5 linked regions of the Macaca mulatta genome follow. The protein of the gene in region 1 purifies or fractionates together with the protein of each later gene. This does not show direct contact. Links are inferred from orthologs where the notes say so. Each region holds a gene or a part of one and is shown on either strand. Other genes may lie near its edges.

Evidence for each region.
Region 2: the proteins of POGZ (region 1) and CHAMP1 purify together in Homo sapiens (affinity purification with mass spectrometry; 4 studies listed by BioGRID and IntAct, with this or other methods). This does not show direct contact. The link is inferred for Macaca mulatta from reciprocal best matches to the Homo sapiens genes POGZ and CHAMP1.
Region 3: the proteins of POGZ (region 1) and CBX1 purify together in Homo sapiens (affinity purification with mass spectrometry; 7 studies listed by BioGRID and IntAct, with this or other methods). This does not show direct contact. The link is inferred for Macaca mulatta from reciprocal best matches to the Homo sapiens genes POGZ and CBX1.
Region 4: the proteins of POGZ (region 1) and ZNF428 purify together in Homo sapiens (affinity purification with mass spectrometry; 3 studies listed by BioGRID and IntAct, counting the BioPlex papers as one, with this or other methods). This does not show direct contact. The link is inferred for Macaca mulatta from reciprocal best matches to the Homo sapiens genes POGZ and ZNF428.
Region 5: the proteins of POGZ (region 1) and CBX5 purify together in Homo sapiens (affinity purification with mass spectrometry; 5 studies listed by BioGRID and IntAct, with this or other methods). This does not show direct contact. The link is inferred for Macaca mulatta from reciprocal best matches to the Homo sapiens genes POGZ and CBX5.

Annotation. Positions count from the first base shown.
Region 1 is NC_133406.1:115,652,337-115,656,631, reverse strand, and holds part of POGZ (pogo transposable element with ZNF domain), read right to left. Parts: coding exon 4,187-4,295; intron 3,233-4,186; coding exon 3,124-3,232; intron 1,938-3,123; coding exon 1,647-1,937; intron 1,566-1,646; coding exon 1,347-1,565; intron 1-1,346. UniProt on the Homo sapiens protein: Plays a role in mitotic cell cycle progression and is involved in kinetochore assembly and mitotic sister chromatid cohesion.
Region 2 is NC_133422.1:108,394,710-108,399,623, forward strand, and holds the start of CHAMP1 (chromosome alignment-maintaining phosphoprotein 1), read left to right. Parts: upstream 1-1,908; 5' UTR 1,909-2,007; intron 2,008-4,914. UniProt on the Homo sapiens protein: Required for proper alignment of chromosomes at metaphase and their accurate segregation during mitosis. Involved in the maintenance of spindle microtubules attachment to the kinetochore during sister chromatid biorientation.
Region 3 is NC_133421.1:61,944,984-61,949,278, forward strand, and holds part of CBX1 (chromobox protein homolog 1), read left to right. Parts: exon of another isoform or gene 1-124; intron 125-1,899; coding exon 1,900-2,076; intron 2,077-2,758; coding exon 2,759-2,936; intron 2,937-4,155; coding exon 4,156-4,250; exon of another isoform or gene 4,251-4,295. UniProt on the Homo sapiens protein: Component of heterochromatin. Recognizes and binds histone H3 tails methylated at 'Lys-9', leading to epigenetic repression. Interaction with lamin B receptor (LBR) can contribute to the association of the heterochromatin with the inner nuclear membrane.
Region 4 is NC_133424.1:56,033,892-56,038,634, forward strand, and holds the start of ZNF428 (zinc finger protein 428), read right to left. Parts: upstream 3,183-4,743; 5' UTR 3,001-3,182; intron 1-3,000.
Region 5 is NC_133416.1:61,467,384-61,472,121, forward strand, and holds the start of CBX5 (chromobox protein homolog 5), read right to left. Parts: upstream 3,077-4,738; 5' UTR 2,951-3,076; intron 1-2,950. UniProt on the Homo sapiens protein: Component of heterochromatin that recognizes and binds histone H3 tails methylated at 'Lys-9' (H3K9me), leading to epigenetic repression. In contrast, it is excluded from chromatin when 'Tyr-41' of histone H3 is phosphorylated (H3Y41ph).

The sequences.
Region 1 (4,295 bases):
GCCACAGCGCCCGGCCTCCTTTGCCTATTTTTAAAAAAGGTTGTTTGGGAGTTTTTTTGATACTGAACTGTAGGAATTCTCTATATATTCTGGATGTTAACCCCTTATTAGATACATAATTCGCAAATATTTTCTCCCATTCTGTGGCTTCCCTTTTCACTGCGTTGATAATGTCCTTTGATGCACAAAAGTTTTAAATTTTGATATAATTTAATTTACCCATTTTTTTCTTTTCTTGCCTATGCTTTTGGTGTCATATCCAAGAAATAGTAATCATTGTCAAATCCAGTATCATGAAGCTTTTTGTCCTATGAGTTTTCTAAGAGTCTTATAGTTTTAGTTCATTTAGGTCTTTGATCCATTTTGAGTTAATTTTTGTATTAAGAGTAAGGTAAGGTTCAACTTCATTTTTTTGGACACGGATATCTAGTTTTCCCAACAACTTTTTTTTAAAGGTTTTTACCTTTTTTTGAGACAGGGTCTCATTCTGTTGCAGTGGCATGATCACGGCTCACTGCAGGCTCAACCTTCTGGGTTCAAGCCATCCTCTCACCTCAGACTCCTGAGTAGCGAGGACTGCAGACATACACCACCACACCTGGCTAATTTTTCTCTTTTTTTTGTAGAGAAGGGATCTCACCATGTTGCCCAGGCTGGTCTCAAACTCCTAGGCTCAAGTGATCCTCCCGCCTTGGCCTCCCATAATGCTGGGATTAGATGTGAGCCACTGCATCTTGCGGCTTTTATTTTTAAAAGGTTGAAATAAAAGAATAAAATTTTTCGACACATGAAAATTTTATGAAACTTAAATTTCAGTCCATAAATAGTTTTTAGTGGAGCACAGCCATGCTCATTCGTTTATGTACCTGTGGCTGCTTCCACAACACAACAGCACAGCTAACAGCTGCAACAGAGGCTACATATCGTGCACAAAGCCTCCAAATTTACTACTAGACCCTTTACAGAAAACATTTGCCGACCCCTGCTCTAGACCATCGAAAACCCTCATGCTCATATTCTCAACCTGAAGATCTCTCTACCAAATCCCAACTTCAAAACCTTGTTTAGAAATCCATCTCTTCCATGAAGTTATCTTTCATTATCTCACCAATCTCTTGATCAATTTCATTAATCCCCAAAGCACAATTACACATAGAATTTCTTAGAGCTGATTCGTTACACTTTTTATAAGTGACTTTCTCCTTACTAAAGTTTCTGTAAGAACAAACTACAGCAGCTATATTTTATTTTATTTCTGTATTTCTGAGTATAGAGCTCTGATACAACGAACACTTTATTAATGTTTTTGAATGACTGGCTGCTCAGGGTCTTTCAGGTTATTGTACCTTTCATTGATGACTCAGGTCCGCTGGTTCTTTGAGAGCCATGAGCAGAGCTGTTGTTGGACACCACCACTGGCCCAGCACTCTGGCCCAGGGAAGGGATTGTGTTAAGGGTATTCACCAATTTGGCCACTTCATTGCTATTTTCACCTGTAACGCCAGGTCGCTTCACAGTGACAAAGCTGGCAATGCTCACTGCAGGTGGAGAGGGGAAGGAGGGAGCTACGGTGACCAAGTGATAATCATCTGTTCTCCACCCACCATCCCATCCTAGCTCTGCCATCTCCTCTTCCCAAGCCTTACCTAGCTTGGGATTCGTGGTCTGGTTTGACTGGCCAGGAGACTGAACAGCTAGTTGCCCCAGTGAGGTTGGCTGTGTGGCAGTGGGAGTGGTGGAAGTGCTGGGAGTGGACTTGGTCTGCTGGGACTGGGACTGTGGGACGGTGCTTCGAATGGTAAGAGTGGCCGGGATGACGGTGGTGAAGGTGTTGGTGGTGGGCCTCACAGGCATTGTGGAGCCTGGCCTCACAGGGGTCATCTGGGAGAACACTTGTGGAACTCCAACTGTCGGCTTAACAAACTGGGTACCTGGGGCTTTAAAAGAGAGATAAAGTACCAGATCTTGGTCAGTGAGCTCACCTATAAAACATTCTCCCTGCCTTTACTGGAAAGATTATTTCCCCAAACTGATGGATGATCATCAGAAGTTTCCAAGAGTAGTATAGATTCTAAAGACTAAGAAAGCACAAGGTGTCTATATTGACAAAATAAATTAGCCTGGGTAGCCTAAAAACATTTAGTTAAGACTCCCATCAACTCCTCCTGAAACACCTTACCACACTGCCTTTTTATTAATTCTAAGAATACAATTAGTAGCTCGACCTCGGTACTGGCAATATGGGTGTGTATAGGCCAAATGGCAAACCTGGTCCTGAAAAAAGAAATCAGTCTTTCTCAGAGTACTAAAGGAGTCTTCCGTCCTTTCCTATCAACTCAGAAGACAGACTATGTCATTCTACTAGGATGTCCCAAAGGAGAATGTCTACTGGCTCAACTGTAGACGATTCCACTGAAAAAAATAAAGAAATACCAGGGTAAGCTGGTCAAACTGAGGGCTAAAAACCCCTGTGGGCTATGAGAACAAAAAATAAAACCTTAGGGAGACAAGCTACAGAGGTACCCTTACAAATAGCTAAATTAAGATATTCTTTTTTGGTCTGAATTGTAGTAAACTTATACATGCTAAATAGAGCAATGGAAAATTCTAAGATTTTAAAAAATTATCCTTCTCAGAATCTTAAAAAACAAAAAAACTATCTAGCAGAATCTTAAAAAAAAACACAAAAAAACTATCTAGTCATTGACAGTATTTATCCATAAAGGGAATGGTCATTTGTTTATATCTAAAATCCATGCTATAAAATTAAAACAAAGTTTATAATCCCACCGTGCAAATGAGGAGATGTGTAAGGAATGAATTTGTGAGTTTGCATTAATAACATTTCTCCAGGATAACAAACTTAATAGCTGACTAAATACCAGTTACAGAAAAATGACTATAAACTCTGTTTTACTACTTCATGAAGGGTGGTGAAAAGCTAAACAGAAATAAATAAAACCACCACCCTGGCCAAACAGATTTTTAAAAATTGGGCTTAAATCATTAAGATTTTTATATTTTCTTTAAATATACTTACTAAATGACTTAGGATATGTAGAACAACAAAAACAAATCTTCTGGATGCCGGTTTACTCCAAATGGATAGACATTTTTCCTTACCTGGAACTAGTGTAATTGGTCTAACCGTTTGGCCTTGCTGTACGTTCAGCACAATCCCAACCTGATTCATTGCATTTTGTACAGGCCGGACATTCCTTACAGGAAATCCCTGTATTAAAAAGCAAAATGATCTTTAACATGGAGACCAACTAATACTAACAAACATTGCAGTATGACCTATATCCAAAAAAATTCCCATACTCTTACTTAATGGTTCTCTCTCTAGAATTATAGCTTTTAAACGACTGAGATGGAAAAGTTTAGGAAATTCTGGCAAACTTTTGAGTAACAAAATATCAAAACTAGAGAACAAGCTTTGGTACACATGAGCAAAAATGAAAACCTATTCCCTGACTTAAGAGAGCATCGGTTTAAAAAACCTCATCAACACATTGGCTCCCTGAAGTGCTAAATGAAGAGAAGCGGGGGTGGGGGAGCGGGGGGAAGAGCAATGTTCACTGGAGTGATTCAACATACCAACAATCCTAAGAAATTGTTCCCAAAGTCTACTTCAAAGGCCACAAACCTTTGGCAAATTCATAAGAATTTACAACTCAGGAAGCCACAGGCAGAGAAGCATTTGCCTTTAGAATCAGGCTTTCAGAATTAGGCTTTCAACTTCAATTCAACACATTATATATCAAATAAGTCATCTTCCTTGTCTCCCAAAGGTCTCCATGAACTCCACCAATTACATATATACATCTCCAAAAGTTAACTAACTCATCCCATGGGAAGAGGAGCAGTCCAAGCAAAGGGTGAAAAGCCGCAAGAGCCAAGCATTAAGGCTTCCTAATCCAAGCTTTCCCACTAATTTCTCTCTAGATTTTAATCAAATCACTTAATAAACTTCTAAGGGGTTTAAAGAAGATATTACCCAGCCATGCTATCTAAGCTGGGCTTTCCACAGTCAACATCAAATTGCAGAACAGTAAATGAGAAAGCCAGGTCAAGAGACAAGACTTAAACACTTCTAATGATGCCAAAGACCCTAAGTCAGAGCTTTCAGAGGTTCATAGTCTTTCTCTCCTCTAGCAACCTTGGAATTCAGAGTCCTACTCACCTGTGTAGTGATAAATATTGGTTGTGAGGCCACAGGGGAACTAGTCACATGATTGGCATTCTGCATGACCTGAACAGGCCTCAATACCGGTTGAGTAACCATTGTGCCC
Region 2 (4,914 bases), on another chromosome or scaffold:
GATACTGATCATTTGTCTGACTTGGGCAAGCTGTTTAATGTCAAGCTTGAGTTTCCTTAACTATTAATTGAAGTTTTAAAGTAGATGATCCCTGAGGTCTTTTCCTATCCCCAAATCCTAAGACTTTGAGACTAGATAGTAGCTTAGGTTTTCCTCTAGTTTTAAAATCCTGTGAGTCAAAGATTGAGAGAACGTTAGGATTGAACAGAGCACATGGTGTGTGCCAGGGATGTGCAGCGGTTCCAGAGGTGAATAAATGGATAGTCCCTCCTCTCCAGGAGCTGGCAACCTGTTGTTGGTATCAGGCTGTAGTGCCAGAGGGTGACATATACAGCTGGGGCTTCTAGGAAGATTGGGAGGGAGTGGAAAATTGGCCAGTGCAGTTGACGCATGAATAACAGAGGTTTGAACTTCAACCAAATGCCAATAAAAAAAGACAGCATTTACAGAATGTGAAACATTTATATGGAGGGCAGATTTTTCATATATGGGAATTCCACAAGGCTGACTGTAGGACCTGAGTATGTGTGGATTTTGGCATATGGGAGTGGTCCTGGAACCAATCCCGTGTTTACAGGGAGACAGCTGACTTAAAAAGCCGTCCTGCCTGAAGGCCAGGCAAGACAGGGAGTGTAAAGGAGAGGAAATAGTTTATACAAAAACCCAGATGCTGGAATAGTCAGGGAATTACATGTGGGCCAGTATTTTGAGAACGCAGTCTGGTCATGGGCCAGACTGTGAAGAGCTTTATATGCTGTATTCAAATCGTGTAGTGTAGGTGTCTTAGTTGCCTTGGAGGAAATGTGAACAGGCAGGTCACATTAGGCTTCTGTTTGGAAGACAGGTTTGGTAGCTGGAAGAAAGGGAGACTAGTGGCAGGAAGTTAAGATGTCAGAATTAAAGCAGTGACGGGGTAGGGGATAGAGAAGGGGTAGATGAATGTGCTGGAGCTAATGAGAAGCACAGTGTGCGCTGTTGTGTAGCTTGTGCACAGCCAGTTTATCACATTCTGTTCTTGTCAGCAGACTCATCTACACCATGATGCTTTATCTTTGAAATGCATGCGGGAAGAGAAGAGGGCAGAGCAATCACTGAAGGAGGTCCATGTGTTCTTCCTTGGGGTCAGGACACCGCCATCCTCCTCCCAGAGTCCTTTCTTTTTGTACCTCTTGGTCCTGTTTGTTGTGGTGTCCCTTCCTCCACTGCCTGTTAATTTGTCACTCTGCTGTGTAATATTGATAACTGACAAAAGTCAGCCATTGTTAGCATCAGTAGTCACACCAGCAGTCTTCTGAGTGCTTATCAGAGAAGTGAAGTTAGGTGGTTGGTTTGAGAAGGATATGATTACACACATGGGCATAATTCCATAGTGGATTACTAAAGAGAAAGTAGACAAAGATGGTGTCAGGAGTGGTATCTACTGTAGTCTTTGGTGTCATTTCATAAAAGTAAGTGTTCAGGCCTGTACAGTGGCTCACGCCTGTAATCCCAGCGCTTTGGGAGGCCGAGGCGGGTGGATCACGAGGTCAGGAGATTGAGACCATCCTGGCTAACACGGTGAAACCTCGTCTCTAATAAAGATACAAAAAAATTTGCTGGGTGTGGTGGCGGGCACAGTCCCATCTGCTCGGGAGGCTGAGGCAGGAGAATGGCGTGAACCCGGGAGGCGGAGCTTGCAGTGAGCCGAGATCATGCCACTGCACTCCAGCCTGGGCTGGACGGAGCGAGACTCTGTCTCAAAAAAAAAAAAAGTAAGTGTTCAGGCTTAGTGGATTGGACTCCTCTCACTGTTAGGGCAGGATGGTGAGCGAAATACACAGAATTCTATCACAGGGGACACACATGATCACAGATACAGTTTTGATCACTTTTTTTTTTTTTCCAGGTTCAACTTCTCGTCTTGTTGTTCTTCTTATACTATAGGCTGTTTGCTCTGGTTTAGTCAAAAAGCCATGTAGAATGCCTGCCTTTTGAAGACCAATTTTAAGGTGTCTAGTAATACAGCAGGTAAGTCTAGTAGGGAAAGCATGCTTAGGAGAATATTTTATGAGGAGAAAATTAAAAAAAAAATACTTGGAGTTCTTGAAGGAAATCTCTAAAAGTATACACGCCCTTATGGATATAACGTGTGATGTGCGCTAGATATACATAATTTGGGATATGAGAAGTGAATTCTGTAGCATTCTTTTTAGGTTTAAGTATGAGATTGGCCTGAAGAGCTGATGGTAGGCAGCGGGAAGAGGAGGGCTGGCTGGGAGGGATGGGGAATGGTAGGTGAGTCTGACTCAAACCCAGCACACCTGAGCTCTTAGTCTCTGTTGTAATTACAGTATGTAATATAGTGCTCTTTAATGTTAGCTTGGCTGTTCATTATTGCCAGTTATAGCTGCATGGGATTATTGAGACTTATTCTCCGGTTTCCCTTAAAGTCTTCTAGTTTTATTTAACAATGGGCTCTGAGACGGATGGTTAACCCATTATTTCTGCATGTATTCAATTACGTTTGTAAGTTAAAGATCATTTTTAGAGATTTTTCTTCAGTACTGAATTATTTATTTTTCTTTTGTTACAGTCCTAGTCCTAAAAACAATATTCTAAAATACAGAATAACTGCTGGCAACGCAGAAAGAGTAAATAGTTTCCAAAGAAAAGTATTTATTTCCTCAAATACCTGTTACCTTTTTAGCTTTAGACCAAAAAATAAAAAAGGCAAATGATATACCATGGATAAAAGTGTTAGGAAACAGTATTGTCGTTGAGAACATCTTTAAAAACAAGTTATCAAAGTTAGAAATATTATACTTTTTTTTTTTTTTTGAGACGCAGTCTCGCTCTGTCACCAGGCGGGAGTGCAGTGGCACAATCTCAGTTCACTGCAACCTCCAACTCCCTGGTTCAAGCGATTCTCCTGCCTCAGCCTCCCAAGTAGCTGGGACTACAGGCACACACCACCATGCCTGGCTAATTTTTGTATTTTTAGTAGAGACTAAATACATGTTGGCCACGATGGTGTGTCCCACCTATGAGTGAGAACATGCGGTGTTTGGTTTTCTGTTCTTGCGATAGTTTGCTGAGAGTGATGGTTTCCAGCATCCATGTCCCTACAAAGGACACTAAACACCATGTTGGCCACGATGGTCTTGATCTCCTGACCTTGTAATCCACCCACCCGGCCTCCCAAGTGCTGAGATTACAGGCGTGAGTCACTGCGCCCGGCCTATACATTTTTTTTTTTTTTTTTGAGACGGAGTCTCGCTGTGTCTCCCAGGCTGGAGTGCAGTGGCGTGATCTCGGCTCACTGCAAGCTCCGCCTCCCGGGTTCACGCCATTCTCCCGCCTCAGCCTCCCAAGTAGCTGAGACTACAGGCGCCCGCCACCACGCCCGGCTAGTTTTTTGTATTTTTAGTAGAGACGGGGTTTCACCATGTTAGCCAGGATAGTCTCGATCTCCTGACCTCGTGATCCCCCCGCCTCGGCCTCCCAAAGTGCTGGGATTACAGGCTTGAGCCACCGCGCCCGGCCTACATTTTTTTAAATTAATGGTTTTGTAATTAATAAAGGGAGAGCCAGAGTTTCTAATCTGTACCATTCTTTAAGATGCAGTAAATATCATTACCATCAATAAGGGAAAAGTGTTCAGTCTTTCTCATTAAGAGAAGCACATTAACACAGTAGTGAAATACTGGCTTTCACCTAGGTTGTAGCAAGGATTAGGAATTTATATGAAATTGTCTTTCATATATACACTGTTGTTTTGCAGTAATGTAAGTTTTCGAGAGTTTGGTAAAATGTATCAATTTTAAACACAAATGGCTAAGTAATCCATTTCTAGGAATTTTCCCTGCAGAAATAACCTTACATGCAAAGATAAGTACAAGGAAAGTCAGTGCTTACTCCATATGTAAAAATGTCTTAAAGAGATGAATTCTAAATGAGAGTAAGTTGCCAGATAATATGTTTAATATCCCATTTGTGTAAAGCATGTGTGTTAATCAATATATGCCTAGGACATTTCTTCCAGGACACATGAGTACACTGGCTACCCCTGCAGACTGACACTCCGTATCTTGTACTGTGTGAATGTGTTTTGTTTTTTTTTTATATTTTAAGTTCTAGGGTACGTGTGCACAACGTGCAGGTTTGTTACATATATATACATGTGCCATGTTGGTGTGCTGCACCCATTAACTCGTCATTTACATTAGGTATATCTCCTAATGCTATCCCTCCCCCTTCTCCCCTCCTCCCCCCCCACAATAGGCCCCGGTGTGTGATGTTCCCCTTCCTGTGTCCAAGTGATCTCATTGTTCAATTCCCACCTATGAGTGAGAACATGCGGTGTTTGGTTTTCTGTTCTTGCGATAGTTTGCTGAGAGTGATGGTTTCCAGCATCCATGTCCCTACAAAGGACACGAACTCATCCTTTTTTATGGCTGCATAGTATTCCATGGTGTATGTGTGCCACATTTTCTTAATCCAGTCTGTCACTGACGGACATTTGGGTTGATTCCAAGTCTTTGCTATTGTGAATAGTGCTGCAGTAAACATACGTGTGCATGTGTCTTTATAGCAGCATGATTTATAATCCTTTGGGCATATACCCAGTAATGGGATGGCTATGTCAAATGGTATTTCTAGTTCTAGATCCTTGAGGAATTGCCACACTGTTTTCCAGTGGTTGAACTAGTTTACAGTCCCATCAACAGTGTAAAAGTGTTCCTATTTCTCCACATCCTCTCCAGCACCTGTTGTTTCCTGACTTTTTAATGATTGCCATTCTAACTGGTGTGAGATGGTACCTCATTGTGGTTTGGATTTGCATTTCTCTGATGGCGAGTGAGGAGCATTTTTTCATGTGTCTGTTGGCTGTATGAATGTCTTCTTTTGAGAAGTGTCTTTTCATGTCCTTTGCCC
Region 3 (4,295 bases), on another chromosome or scaffold:
GCTACTCAGGAGACTGAGGTAGGAGGATCACTTGAGCCCAGGAGGTCAAAGCTGCAGTGAGCCATAATTACTTCACTGCATTCCAACCTAGGTGATAGAGACACTGTCTCAAAAAAGAAGAAAAGTTGTTAAATAAACTAAATACAGTAAGTTAACAAGAAATTTGTGAATTGTAAGTTCAATTCAGAAAAGAGTGCATAAAGAACAAGAGAACTCAGCTGGGCACAGTGGCTCATGCCTGTAATCCCAGCACTTTGGGATTCTGTGACGGGTGGATCACTTGAAGTCAGGAGTTTGAGACCAGCCTGGCCAACATGGCAAAACCCTGTCTCTACTAAAAATACAAAAACTAGCTGGGCATGGTGGCACACACCTGTAGTCCCAGCTACTCAGAAGGCTGAGGCAGAAGAATCACTTGAACCCGGGTGGCGGAGGTTGCAGTGAGCCAAGACTGTGCCACTGCACTCCAGCCTGGCTGGAGTGAGACTCCGTCTCAAAAAAAGGGGGGTGGGGTGGGGCGGGGCTTGGTGGCTCATGCCTGTAATCCCAGCACTTTGGAAGGCCACCATGGGCGAATCACGAAGTCAGGAGTTCAAGACCAGCCTGGCAGCCTGACCAACGTGGTGAAACCCTGTCTTTACTAAAAATACAAAAATTAGCTGGGCATGGTGGCTCACACCTGTAGTCCCAGCTACTCATGAGGCTGAGGCAGGAGAATCACTTGAACCCAGGAGGCGGAGGTTGCAGTGAGCCGAGATTGTGCCATTGCACTCCAGCCTGGGCTGGCGTGAGACTCCGTCTTAAAAGAAAAAAAAAAAAAAAAAAGGGCCGGGCAGGGTCATTCACGCCTCTAATCCCAGCACTTTGGAAGGCCAGGGCAGGCGAATCACGAGGTCAGGAGTCTCACTCTGTTGCCCAGGCTGGAGTACAGTCATGCGATCCTGGCTCATGACTGGCTAATTTTTGTATTTTTAGTAGGGACAGGGTCTTGCCATGTTGGCCAGGCTGGTCTTGAACCCCTGACCTCAGGCCATCTGCCCGCCTCCGCCTCCCAAAGTGCTAGAATTACAGGTGTGAGCCGCTGCGCCCGGCCTTCTTTGAGTTTAATGCAATATTTTAGCTACCATGCTCTTTTACAGATTTTTTGTGTGTGTGGAGATGGGGTCTTGCTATGTTGCCTAGGCTGGTCACACACTCCTGGGCTCCAGGAATTCTCCCACTTCGGCCTTCCAAAATGCTGGGATTGCAGATGTGAGCCTGCATGCGTGGCCCTAGCTACCATGCTTTATGGTAAAAGGAGTATTGGGAGCCTTTTTAAATGACAAAGAATGGGTATAAAAGTTGTAAATGGATACACAAGAATAAAGAAGTTTGCTGTGAAGGCCAGGCGCAGTGGCTCACACCTGTAATTCCAACACTTTGGGAGGCCGAAGCAGGCGGATCACCTGAGGTCAGGAGTTCGAGACCAGCCTGGCCAACATGTAGTGAAGTCCCGTCTCTACTAAAAAAAAACAAATACAAAAATTAGCTGGGCTTGGTGGCACATGCCTGCAGTTCCAGCTGCTTGGGAAGCTGAGGCAGGAGAATCACTTGAACCCAGAAGGCAGAGGTTGCGGTGAGCCGAGATTGTGCCACTGCACTCCAGCCTGTGCAACAAAGCAAGACTCCGTCTCTCAAAAAGAAGTTTCGCTGTAAGATTAATTGGGGCTGTTTTATGAGCTTTCTGACTGCACATATCAGAAAACTATTGTGTATCGAATGTGAGAATAGGCCTCACACTTATTGTAAGCAGCATATAATATTATCACCTGTCATGTCTCTGGTTTTCTTACCATCCAGATATTATCTAACCAATAAGAGTGCTCCCTAATTCCCTTTTTATTTCATTTATCATTTTAGCAGCGTCACCCTTTACACCAGAAAGCTGGCGGGCACTATGGGGAAAAAACAAAACAAGAAGAAAGTGGAGGAGGTGCTAGAAGAGGAGGAAGAGGAATATGTGGTGGAAAAAGTTCTCGACCGTCGAGTGGTAAAGGGCAAAGTGGAGTACCTCCTAAAATGGAAGGGGTTCTCAGAGTAAGTTTCACTGACACAAGTAAATGTAGCCACCAGGTGTTTATCAGGAGTCTAGAGATGTATGAGACCTCCAGTGCTGTGATGGAAACTGTGTGACTCAGTCCCCACCTTCATGGCTTATTGTTTAATTAGGAACATGGCCTACTGCTTGTTATACAGAGCAGAATGACTTCTTTTTTAAAGTTCTTTCTTTTGAGACAAGGTCTCGCTCTGTCACCCAGGCTGGAGTACAGTGGTGCAGTCATAGCTCGCTGCAGCCTCAACCTCCCAGGCTCAAGGTATCCTCCCACCTCAGCCTTCTAAGTAGCTAGTACCACAGGCATGCACCACCATGTCTCACTTAGTTGCCCAGGTTTGTCTAACTCCTGGCCTCAAGCAGTCCTCCCACCTGGGCCTCCCAAAGTGTTGGGACTACAGGCGTGAGCCACTGTACCCAGCCCATAGTGATTTCTGAGAAATATTGTGTGTGGCTATAGACCGATTTAAATTGACAAATAAAAGTCATTTGCCTTTGAAGGAAGCCAGTTTCTTAGCTTTCTATTTATACTAGAAAGCCTCCCCATTCCCCAAGAAATTTCAGCTTTTCCATGGACGTCTGAGCTCTTGTCCTCTTACGATTATCCTTAGTATGATTATACTTATTTTGAGTGAAAGTGTGACTTGCTGTGCCCTCTGGTTTCAGTGAGGACAACACATGGGAGCCAGAAGAAAACCTGGATTGCCCCGACCTCATTGCTGAGTTTCTGCAGTCACAGAAAACAGCACATGAGACAGATAAATCAGAGGGAGGCAAGCGCAAAGCTGATTCTGATTCTGAAGATAAGGGAGAGGAGAGCAAACCAAAGAAGAAGAAAGAAGAGGTAAGGATAGAAGTAAGAATTTTTACTGGCCCACAATTCAAACCACTGTCAAAGTAGTTTTGTTTTGCTTCTTCCCAGATATTAGCAGCCATCTCTTCTTAGTTCTGACATCTTAGGTAGGCTAATGCCTACAAAGTGAGAGTGTACTCTCATGAAGCCACATGATCTCTTACTTTTTTGTTTGTTTGTTTGTTTGAGACGGAGTCTCGCTCTGTCGCCCAGGCTGGAGTGCAGTGGCCGGATCTCAGCTCACTGCAAGCTCCACCTCCTGGGTTTACGCCATTCTCCTGCCTCAGCCTCCCGAGTAGCTGGGACTACAGGCGCCCGCCACCTCGCCCAGCTAGTTTTTTTGTACTTTTTAGTAGAGACGGGGTTTCACCGTGTTCGCCAGGATGGTCTCGATCTCCTGACCTCATGATCCGCCCGTCTCGGCCTCCCAAAGTGCTGGGATTACAGGCTTGAGCCACTGCGCCCAGCCAGTCTCTTACTTTTTATCCATGGTACAGGAGCAGTAAATGGGATACTTGCTGGGGACAGATAAAAGGGCAAGTGAATTCATTCTTGTAAAAAACGGTTTTCAATGTTTAATCATTAAAGGTGTGAGGTAGCTATTTTGACTTAATCAGTACGTACCTTAAAGTAAGTTGTTTTTTGAGAGTGAAGAGATAGGTGTAAACATTGATTTTGCTTGGGCTGTATGTCCCTTTTCACATATGGGAAAATCTCATGCGCTTCAGACATTGATGAATAATCACTCCAAAGAATTCTAACAGCTCTCTTACTTTGAGCCAAGGTATTGGTGAAATATTGGCAAAAAAGTTTGTGTTTGGGCCGGGCACAGTGGCTCACACCTATAATCCCAGCCCCTTGGGAGGCTGAGGCGGGCGAATCACAAGGTCAGGAGATTAAGACCATCCTGACTAAATGGTGAATCCCCGTCTCTACTAAAAATACAAAAAATTAGCCAGGTGTGGTGGCATGCGCCTGTGGTCCCAGCTCCTCAGGAGGCTGAGGCAGGAGAATTACTTGAACCCAGGAGGCAGAGGCTGCAGTGAGCTGAGATCGCACCACTGCACTCCATCCTGGGCAACAGAGATTCCGTCTCAAAAAAAAAAAGAGAAGAGTTTATGATTACATTAATCAGAGACACAGGAATAGTTCCAAGTCTAGATAATAGTCCCATATAGATAAAATTGTTCTACCAATCTTGTTTTTACAGTCAGAAAAGCCACGAGGCTTTGCTCGAGGTTTGGAGCCGGAGCGGATTATTGGAGCTACAGACTCCAGTGGAGAGCTCATGTTCCTGATGAAATGGTGAGTCGGCCAGTGGCTTTGTGTGGTTGTTTTTTTTCTTCTCCC
Region 4 (4,743 bases), on another chromosome or scaffold:
TCACAGAACTCAAGGAAATGCTTATTTAGATTTTCTGGTTTATTATTGCAAAGAAGAAAGATGAAGAGATGTGTAAGGCAAGGTATAAGGGAAGGGGCAGGGAGCTTCACGCCCTCCCTGGGGTGCCACCCTACAGGAACCCTCATGTGGTCAGCTATGTGGAAGCTCTCCAAACCCAGTCCTCTAGGGTTTTTACAGAGGCTTTAAGACAGCAGCATTGGCCGGGCGCGGTGGCTCAAGCCTGTAATCCCAGCACTTTGGGAGGCCGAGGCGGGAGGATCACAAGGTCAGGAGATCGAGACCACAGTGAAACCCCGTCTCTACTAAAAATACAAAAAATTAGCCGGGCGCGGTGGCGGGCGCCTGTAGTCCCAGCTACTCAGGAGGCTGAGGCAGGAGAATGGCGGGAACCCGGGAGGCGGAGCTTGCAGTGAGCCGAGATCGCGCCACTGCACTCCAGCCTGGGCAACAGCGTGAGACTCCGTCTCAAAAAAAGACAGCAGCATTAGGCATGGAATTCTCTGAAAATGTCTTAAGACCAACAATCAGGAAGGTGGGGAAGATTAGAGTCTTGCCCTGGGGCAGGAAATGGAGGGAAGGAGGAGGTCAGAGAGATTGTTTCTTGAGACCTGCCCCAGGCCTAAGGTACACAACATTATAACAAGAGAACACAAACAAAGGCTATAGGAGTTAGCAGCCAGGAACTGTGGATAAAAACCAACATATTTATATATATAATACCACAGGGAGGGTCCAAAGTGGCAGTTAGGGACAGCGAGTACTTGTGAGCAGTGACACACCAACCCATCTGAAAGTATTTTAATATTTAAACAATTGGTATGGCTGTACTAGTTTGTGACTATCAGCCTTAGTTCTGTATCCATTGGCAAGATAGTGTCTAGGTTTGCCAAGCTCTAGCTGTGTAGCACCAAGCGAAGAACTTAACTTCTCCAGCCTGTTTCCTTCTCTGTAAGAAAGGGGCTTCCAGGCCTTAACTCACGTACTCCCCATAACTAGGTTGGAATTACCTCCTTTGTACAGATGAGAAAACAGACACACAGGTGGTAAGTGAATAGCCCAAGGTCACCATCTGGTAAGTGGATGAACTAGGATTGGAAGCCACACCTTTCATAAAATGATTTCTCAGCTCAAAAGGTTTTTCTGAAGATTCAGTAGGCTCACTGATAGAAATTGCTGGTGTGTGGCGGGTATTCCATCCAGACCACGTGGCCATTACTACTCCCACCCCCACCCCTCTGTAAACTCCAGATATTCCCGACCTCTCACCTCTCCCTGTGCACACAAGGCCTTTTCCCGTCTGTGCGTCTTAGTACACCCACTGTTGCTGTCAAGAAAGTCCTCCTCCTCCTTCTTTTTTTTTTTGGAGATGGAGTCTCACTTTTTTGCCCAGGCTGGAGTACAGTAGCACGATCTCACTGCAACCTCCCCCCTGCCTCAGCCTCCCTAGTAGCTAGGATTACAGGCAGCCATCACCACGCCCTGCTTTTTTTTTTTTTTTTTTTTTTTTTGAGGTGGACTCTCACTCTGTCGCCCGGGCTGGAAGGCGGTGGCGCAAGCTCCGCCTCCTGGCTTCAGGCCATTCTGCTGCCTCAGCCTTCCGAGTAGCTGCGGCGGCTATTTTTTGTATTTTTAGTATAGACGGGGTTTCACCGTGTTAGCCAGGATGGTCTCAATCTCCTGACCTCATGATCCGCCCGCCTCGGCCTCCTAAAGTACTGGGATTACAGGCGTGAGCCACCGTGCCCAGCCTACTTATTTATATTTTTTAAGAGACAGGGTCTCGCTCAGTTGCCCAGGCTGGACTGCAGTAGGGTGGTCTGTAGGAAAGGGGCTTCCAGGTCTTAACTCATGTAATTCCCATAACCAGGTTGGAAGGTTAGCTCACTGTAACCTCAAACTCCTATGCTCATGGTACCCTACTCACCCATAGCAGAGGAGCTGGGACTACACGTGTGCGCCACCACGCCAGGCTTAATTTTTACTTTTTTTTTGTAGAGACGGGGGTCTCGCTATGTTGCCCAGGCTGGTCTTGAACTCCTGGTCTCAAGTGATCCTCCTGCCTCAGCCTCCCAAAGCGTTAGTATCACAGGCATAAGCCACTGCAACTGGCCTAAACAGTTATTTAATATAGCTATGTTCCATGTGATATTTGAAACATACTTTTCTAAAAGGTTGTATCTTTTGGATATAATTGTTTATCTGAAATTCAAATTTAACTAGACATTGTATATTTTATATGGCAACCATACACCTGGGGCAATCAAGACCGTCCCATGAAGTTACCAGAAGACAATGCCCATCAGCCTACACTTTTCCAAGCCCACATAACACAAGGCCCCTTCCTGAGTATTCCAGACGTCAGGTAGGGCCATCCCTTGGTTCACAAGCCCACTCCTACCACGCCTATGGCAGCCAAACTGAAAGGCAAACACAGTGCTGGAGACCCCACAATGCCCTGGGTCTGTAGCAGCCAATTCCCAAGATGCCCCGCGTGAACACAATAGGAACCCGTTCCAATGCTCGAGCAATGAGACGAGGGCAAAACCTTCCACTACGGGACAATAAGGGCCAGTTCCCACAATTCCTTGTGGCAGTTTTTCCCAGGATGCCTTGGGCCTATAGCGACCACCTTCCCGGACTCCCTGTGTGGAAGCGCTCCAAGCCTCCAAGACGGTCAGTGGCAGGTGTGGGATAAAAGGAACCGGTCTCGACGAGGATCTGGGACACTCTTTCCCAGGATGCACCAGGCCTACAACGACTAGCGGACCGACTCCCACAGCGCTTCAAGGCGGAGCGCTCGGTTCTCCCAGGATGCCCCAGGGCGGCACAGCCGCGTAGGGGGAGAAAAGGAAGCCCTCGGGTCACCATGGCCCCAGACCGCCGGCTCCCCGGCGACGGGAGTCGTCGTTCCCATCATGCAGCGGGGCCGTAGCGCCCGCTTCCCGGCATGCCCCGCGCACCCCTGCCCGGGACACTCACCGGCGCCGGCGGCCCCCGCTCCGGCTCTGCGGCGGCAGCTGCACGCCCAGCCTCTGCGCCTGCGTCGCAAGCAGGGTAGGAGAGCGCGCAGGGGGCGTGAAGAGCCTAGGGCGCTTGCGCGGTGAGACGGACTAGTCCTGTAGCTCTGTGTGAAGAGGGGCTATGAGCGTCGGGCCGTCGACGAGACCCGCGCGGGGGGCGCCGTGCTTTGCCCCTCGCTGCCTGGGTTTACTTGGTACAGTCCGCGGCCCGAAGGAACAACAAGCTGAAGGGTTCGCGCGTGCGTGTGGGGGGCAGGAACGCTACTTATAAAAATGAGATGCGCTGGGGGTGGAGGGCGCTAGTTCGGACTGGATCCTGGGCCCGAGGCCTGCTTATTTGCATAATCCTAGCGCGGGACAATGAAAGGCCTCCAGAACTGGAAGGAGTGATTTGCATATTCCCCGAGGAGGCCTTACTCCTGAGCGCAGTGATTAGCATATGGCGGGGCAACCTGAGCAAAGCGCATGCGCGCAGGGACTGCAGACTAACGCGAAGTGGGTAACCTTGCTTTCGTTGGGGATCAGTTTGCATCCTGAGAGGGGCACGAGGGTCAGGACCCCTCCCAGCCAGGATAAATGTTTATTGATCTCCTAGGTGTCAGACCCTATGCTGGCAGATTCTATGGTTTCTGCAGTGAACCATACTCCTGTACTCACGGCGCCCCAGTCGAGGAGATACACACCTAATTAGACAACTACTACCCAGAAGGTCAGACCTGGAGTGAGGAACACAGGGGACTATGGGAGCCTAAGAGGCGCCTGCCCCGGCCTATGGTTCTAGAAAGGCTTCCAGGAGGTGGTGATCCTTAAGCCAAGTACGAATAGGAGCCAGCTAGAATGGGAATGGATCTGGCAGAGTGAACAAGCGCCAAGGCCCAGAGGCCAAAAAAAAAAAAAAGCACATGGTTTGATTGAGGAAGCAAGAGCAGCATAGTATGCCTAGAACCGAACTGGAGAGGGGAAATGGTCTTATAGACCATGTTAGAGTTGATCTATGACTACATTCCAGTCTTCCTGGAAGTGTCACATTCCGGCTTAAACTCCCCAAAGGAATCCCATTAGGAAAAAAAGTCCAAAAATCTTTATCATGGCCTCAGGGCTATACAGCTGGTCTGGCCGTGCTTATCTTTCTGACCCCACCTACTTCCTCCTCCCTCCACTCCTGTCCAGCTCCACCTTATGCCAAACTCTCTTTGCCATCTCGGGCCTTTGCTCTTGCCGTTCCCTCCGCCTGAAAATGCTTTTCCCTCTGACCTTTGAATACCTGCTCTTGTGCTCACCATTCATATCTTGGTACAGATGTCAATTTGAGAGGCTTTTCCTGATCTCTCCATAATAGCGCTTACACATATGACTGGAGTTACGGATAAATTGGGATTGGCCATGAGTCCGTGGTGGTTGTAACTGGCATGAAGAGTACATGGGGCTGGGCGCGGTGGCTCATGCCCGTAATCCCAACACTTTGGGAGGCCGAGGCGGGTGGATCACCTGAGGTCAGGAGCTTGAGACCAGTCTGGGCAACATGGTGAAACCTGCCTCTATTAAAAGTACAAAAATTAGCCAGAGGTGATGGGGGGTTGCCTGTAATCCCTGCTACTTGGGAGGCTGAGGCATGAGGATCACTTGAACCCTGGAGGCAGAGTCGAGATTGAGCCACTGCACTCCAGCCTGGGCCACCCAGCGAGACTCATCTCAAAAAAAA
Region 5 (4,738 bases), on another chromosome or scaffold:
TCTTTTTTCCTGAGACAAGGTCTCACTCTGTCACCCAGGCTGGGGTGCAGTGGCACGATCTTGGCTCACTACAACCTCTGCCTCCAGGTTGAAGCGATTCTCCCATCTCAGGTTCCTGAGTAGCTGGGATTACAGGTGCCCACCAATATGCCTGGCTAATTTTTGCAGGGGTTTTTGTTTTTTGTTTTGAGACGGAGTCTCGCTCTGTCACCCAGGCTGGAGTGCAGTGGTGCAATTTCTGCTCACTGCAACCTCCGCTTCCCGGGTTCAAGCAATTCTCTCTGCCTCCCGAGTAGCTGGAATTAGAGGTACCTGCCACCACGCCCACTTAATTTTTTTGTATTTTCAGTAGAGACCGGGTTTCACGATGTTGGCCAGGCTGGTCTTGAACTCCTGACCTCAAGTGATCCACCCACCTCGGCCGCCCAAAGGGCTGGGATTACAGACATGAGCCACTGCGCCCGGCCCAATTTTTGTGTTTTTAGTAGAGACGGGTTTCACCATGTTGGCCAGGCTGGTCTCAAACTCCTGGCCTCAAGTGACCCGCCCACCTCAGCCTCCCAAAGTGCTGGGATTACAGACGTAAGCCACTGGCACCAGATCAAGTGGTAAAAATTTTAATAAAAATTTCCTTTTATCAAATGGAACAATGATCAATTCTGTATCTAAGGAGATAAACATCAGGATTTAGCGATCCATTTACCAAAGGCCACTCCCTAAACACTTCAACCATCTTCTCTCACTTTTACCTATTTTCCAATTGGTAAAATAATGGATTTTGAAAAAATAATAAACTCTAGCATTTTATTTTTATTTTTTAGCAATGGGATCTTGTTGTGCTGCCCAGACGAGTGCAGTGGCTATTCACAGGCATAATCATTTCACACTGCAGCCTTGACCACCTGAGCTCAAGCCTCCTGCCTCAGCTTCCATAGTAGCTGGGACTACAGGAACACGAAACTGTGCCCTGCATACTCCAGAATTTTGGGAGAATGATTTTCAACCGAGGGAGATTTTATCCCCGATCCCTACCTCTCCGGACATTTGGCAATGTCTGTTAACAATCTGATTGTCACAAATGGGGATGTGGCGAGAGGTGCGATGTTACTGGCATACAGTGGGTAGAAGCCAGGGATTTTGCTAAATATTTTACTATGCACAGGACACCCCGAATACCCTTAACAAAGAATTATTATCTGCCTCAAAATATCAACAGTGCTAATGCTGAGAAATCTTGCTGCAGGTTAAGACTGTATTCCTTTCAAACCTAAATAAATCCAGGACAGATACCCTTAACCAGTATCACTTTAGTTCTCAGAAGCTCAGCAACCCCATTACTAGCATACCTACAAATAGGTTTAAAACCAGGGATAAACTATATATAAATACTTTATCCTTTTGCTAGTGCCAGAGAACATGGAAATTTTTCCTCTGTTCATAAACTGCTATTAAAATCGTTTGTCTTTGGTATAAAGTCGGAAAGGTCTCTAGTCATAAGTGTACTTCATAGGTAGTTGATTTTCAGTATTTAAGTATTTTCCCTTGATCCTGAATTATTGAACAAAGCAGTAAGACTCTGATACAGCCAATGTTATCAAAATTTATTTATTTCTCCAAAAGATCCTGGAATAAGCAGAGGGGGCATTACCAAAAGGAGATAGACTGCATGTAAAACACACTTCGAAGGAAATCTAATTAAAAGGCAAGGAATAATCCAGGTGATGGATGAGTCTTCTGTCCCCAGAACCCTAAATATTACCCTCTTTAAGCGTTTCTTTTTTAATCCAAAGTCAGATATCCTCAAATGAACATCAAAATGAGGGGTTTTAGGATATCTTTAATGGTGTAAAGAAAGGAAATGTATGAGAGGGAAAGTTCCCGGGAGAAAGAGACTAAAATAAAAGCACTGGGCACATGGATTATATAAATCAGAAAAAGGGTGGTAAGTATGTGATTATGATTAGAAACACAAAACAATTGACTTCATTTTTTATTTAATTTTAATCACAAATCATTAATCTTGCAAAGTTTTAAACATTAAAGAACCAGCCTGCCTCGATCCTACTGTGTCCCTAGGACTGACACACTTTGGTGTGTAGCTTTGGAAAACTTTTCTATGGACCTACAAACATATTGTTCGTGGAAATATGCACTATCAGGATATAGAGATTTCTCCTATTCGTTCTAACATTTTAACAGTCTTCCTAAAGAAGCGACTTCTGAAAGTATTATAAAAAAACAAACAAAAACCTCCTCTGTTCCCCAAACCTCAAGTGGTGAGGAGGCGGGGGAAACATGGTCAAGTCGAGGAATACACGAGGAAACTTAGGCTTCAGGGAGGTGTATGGGACTGAGGCCTAAAGGCTCCGTTAGAACATTAGAAAAGTCATTGTGGATAAAACATTCATCCTCACACGCCATTACAGGCACCGACTCCCCTTCCTCACAACCCCAAATCGAAGACCTCTCTCTTTTGGAGAGCCGATTGGACGACTGGTCCCAGTGCTTTCCTTAGGCTGTCCGTCTACTGGCTCCAGATTCGTTCCATCCGTTTAACCGCCCGATCCCGCATTCCCCATTGGAGTCAAACCGCTGCCTCCTGGAGAAGCCCAACCTACCGCGCGCTTCCTGCTCACTGGCTCAGTGAGACGCTGCTCAGAAGGGGAAAACCCATCTCCCACATTCCGATGGCCCAAGGGCCGATCAGTCGGCAGCTCAAGGCACACCCAATTGGCCTATACACAAGCCAGTCAAAGTCTTCGGCTGCACAGCTCCCAAGAACCTACAGGGATTAAAACATCCCGCCCCCTGTTCTTCTATTGGTTGACCCGATCCACCGCTGCCCCTTGACTATCCCCCACCCCGCGGTCCATTCATTTCACACAATAACGGGCCCAAATGGAGTCAGTTCAAGACCTACTATGGGTAGATAAGACTGTCTGCCACTTACCCGGGATTGAGAGTGATCACTCACGCTAACGTCTGCCCTGTTCCTGTTTGGTGAGGCCGCACCACTAGCCACCACCGCCGCCGCCTTCTGCGCAACGCCAACCGCCCGCCAAAACGGATCCTTCCCTGCGCCTGCGCAACCAATCCTGGGACCGGACCTTTTTTCTCCGCCCACTGCGCATGCGCAAAGCTAGAACCAACTCCCGCCAACACGCAGGCGCCGTAGGTTCACTGCCTAGTCCTGCCCGCCATTTCACGTGTTCCCAGAGGCAGGTGGAACTTCTTAATGCGCCTGCGCAAAATTCGCCATTTTGCTACACGTGCGGTCAACAAGCGTTCTTTGCAAAAAAACTGTGACCTCCTGGCTGCTTGTCTAATACATAGTGTTAATCATGCTTTGCCAAGCGACTTGACTGTAATATTTACGCGTGGAAGATGAAAAAGGCGTTAAACACCCCAGGTAGATTCAAACATGAATGATTGGTCGGTTGGCCAATCAGACTGGTTAACAGTAATATTACTCGAGAACCAATTGACTCCAAGGGGTGGAGACGCGTAGAACGCCCAAAGGAATGACGTTACACAGCAATGTGGCACCACAGGCCAATAGCAAGGGGAAGCGATTTCAAATGTCCAATCAGAGCTGTTCTAGGGCGGAGTCTACCAATGCCGAAAGCGAGGAGGCGGGGTAAAAAAGAGAGGCCGAAGGTAGGCTGGCAGATACGTTCGTCAGCTTGCTCCTTTCTGCCCGTGGACGCCGCCGAAGAAGCATCGTTAAAGTCTCTCTTCTCCCTGCCGTCATGTCTAAGTCAGAGGTGAGTTAGGCGAGCTTTCCAACTTGAATGTTTTTCGTCTCCCTTTTCTGAATCGGTAAGATGCGGCTTGGTTTCGTTCCTTGCACCAGCCGATTCTACAGTTAACTTCGGTCGCTGCCAAGGCCTACCCCTCCCAAAGTTCAAGTCGCCATTTTGTCCTCTTGATCGCCATGAGGCCGCTCTCCGCCAACCACGAGTTATCACGCGGGACTCGCTACTCGTAGCAAAATTCTTAGGCACACAGGATCTTTGTCTTTTTTTAAACCTTGCCTTGGTGAGCGAGATTTCTGAAGAGCGGTTAGTCCCATTATGGAGATGCACCCCTCCCGCCCAAGCCTTTGTTGCGCGTGCGTCGGAAGACGACTAGAGACGCATGCGCTTGCGATTTCCCAGCACTCCCAACCCCCAGCATACTGCCTCCCTTGGTGGGGAGAAGCACGTGGCCTGTTGCGACCTGAACAAACAATAAGTGCTAGGTACACAGTTGGTGTCTAGTTTTTCTTTTCCTTGATGGAAATTGTTTCGTGTTGTAGTCCATTTAACACTTCCCCCTTCCCCCACTCCAGTCTCCTAAAGAGCCCGAACAGCTGAGGAAGCTCTTCATTGGAGGGTTGAGCTTTGAAACAACCGATGAGAGCCTGAGGAGCCATTTTGAGCAATGGGGAACGCTCACGGACTGTGTGGTAAGAATTGGGACAAAGCAGTAAAATAGCCGAGATTTCCTTGGCATATCTTGGTGCAGTCCTCTCTGAATGCTTATGAAAGTTGTTAGTAGCATTATGGTTAGAGCTTTGTCGACAAAGGAATATTCTGCTTTGATTTTAAAAGCTACTTGTTAAATCTAGGGTAGTGGGAAACTGGACCGCTTTTCATAAAAGGCTGGTATAAAGTTTCCTATTGCCCTATTCAAAGTTAAAATGACAAAAGCTTCTGCGGTCAGACTTTGTTACATAAATTAACACTGTTCTCAGGTA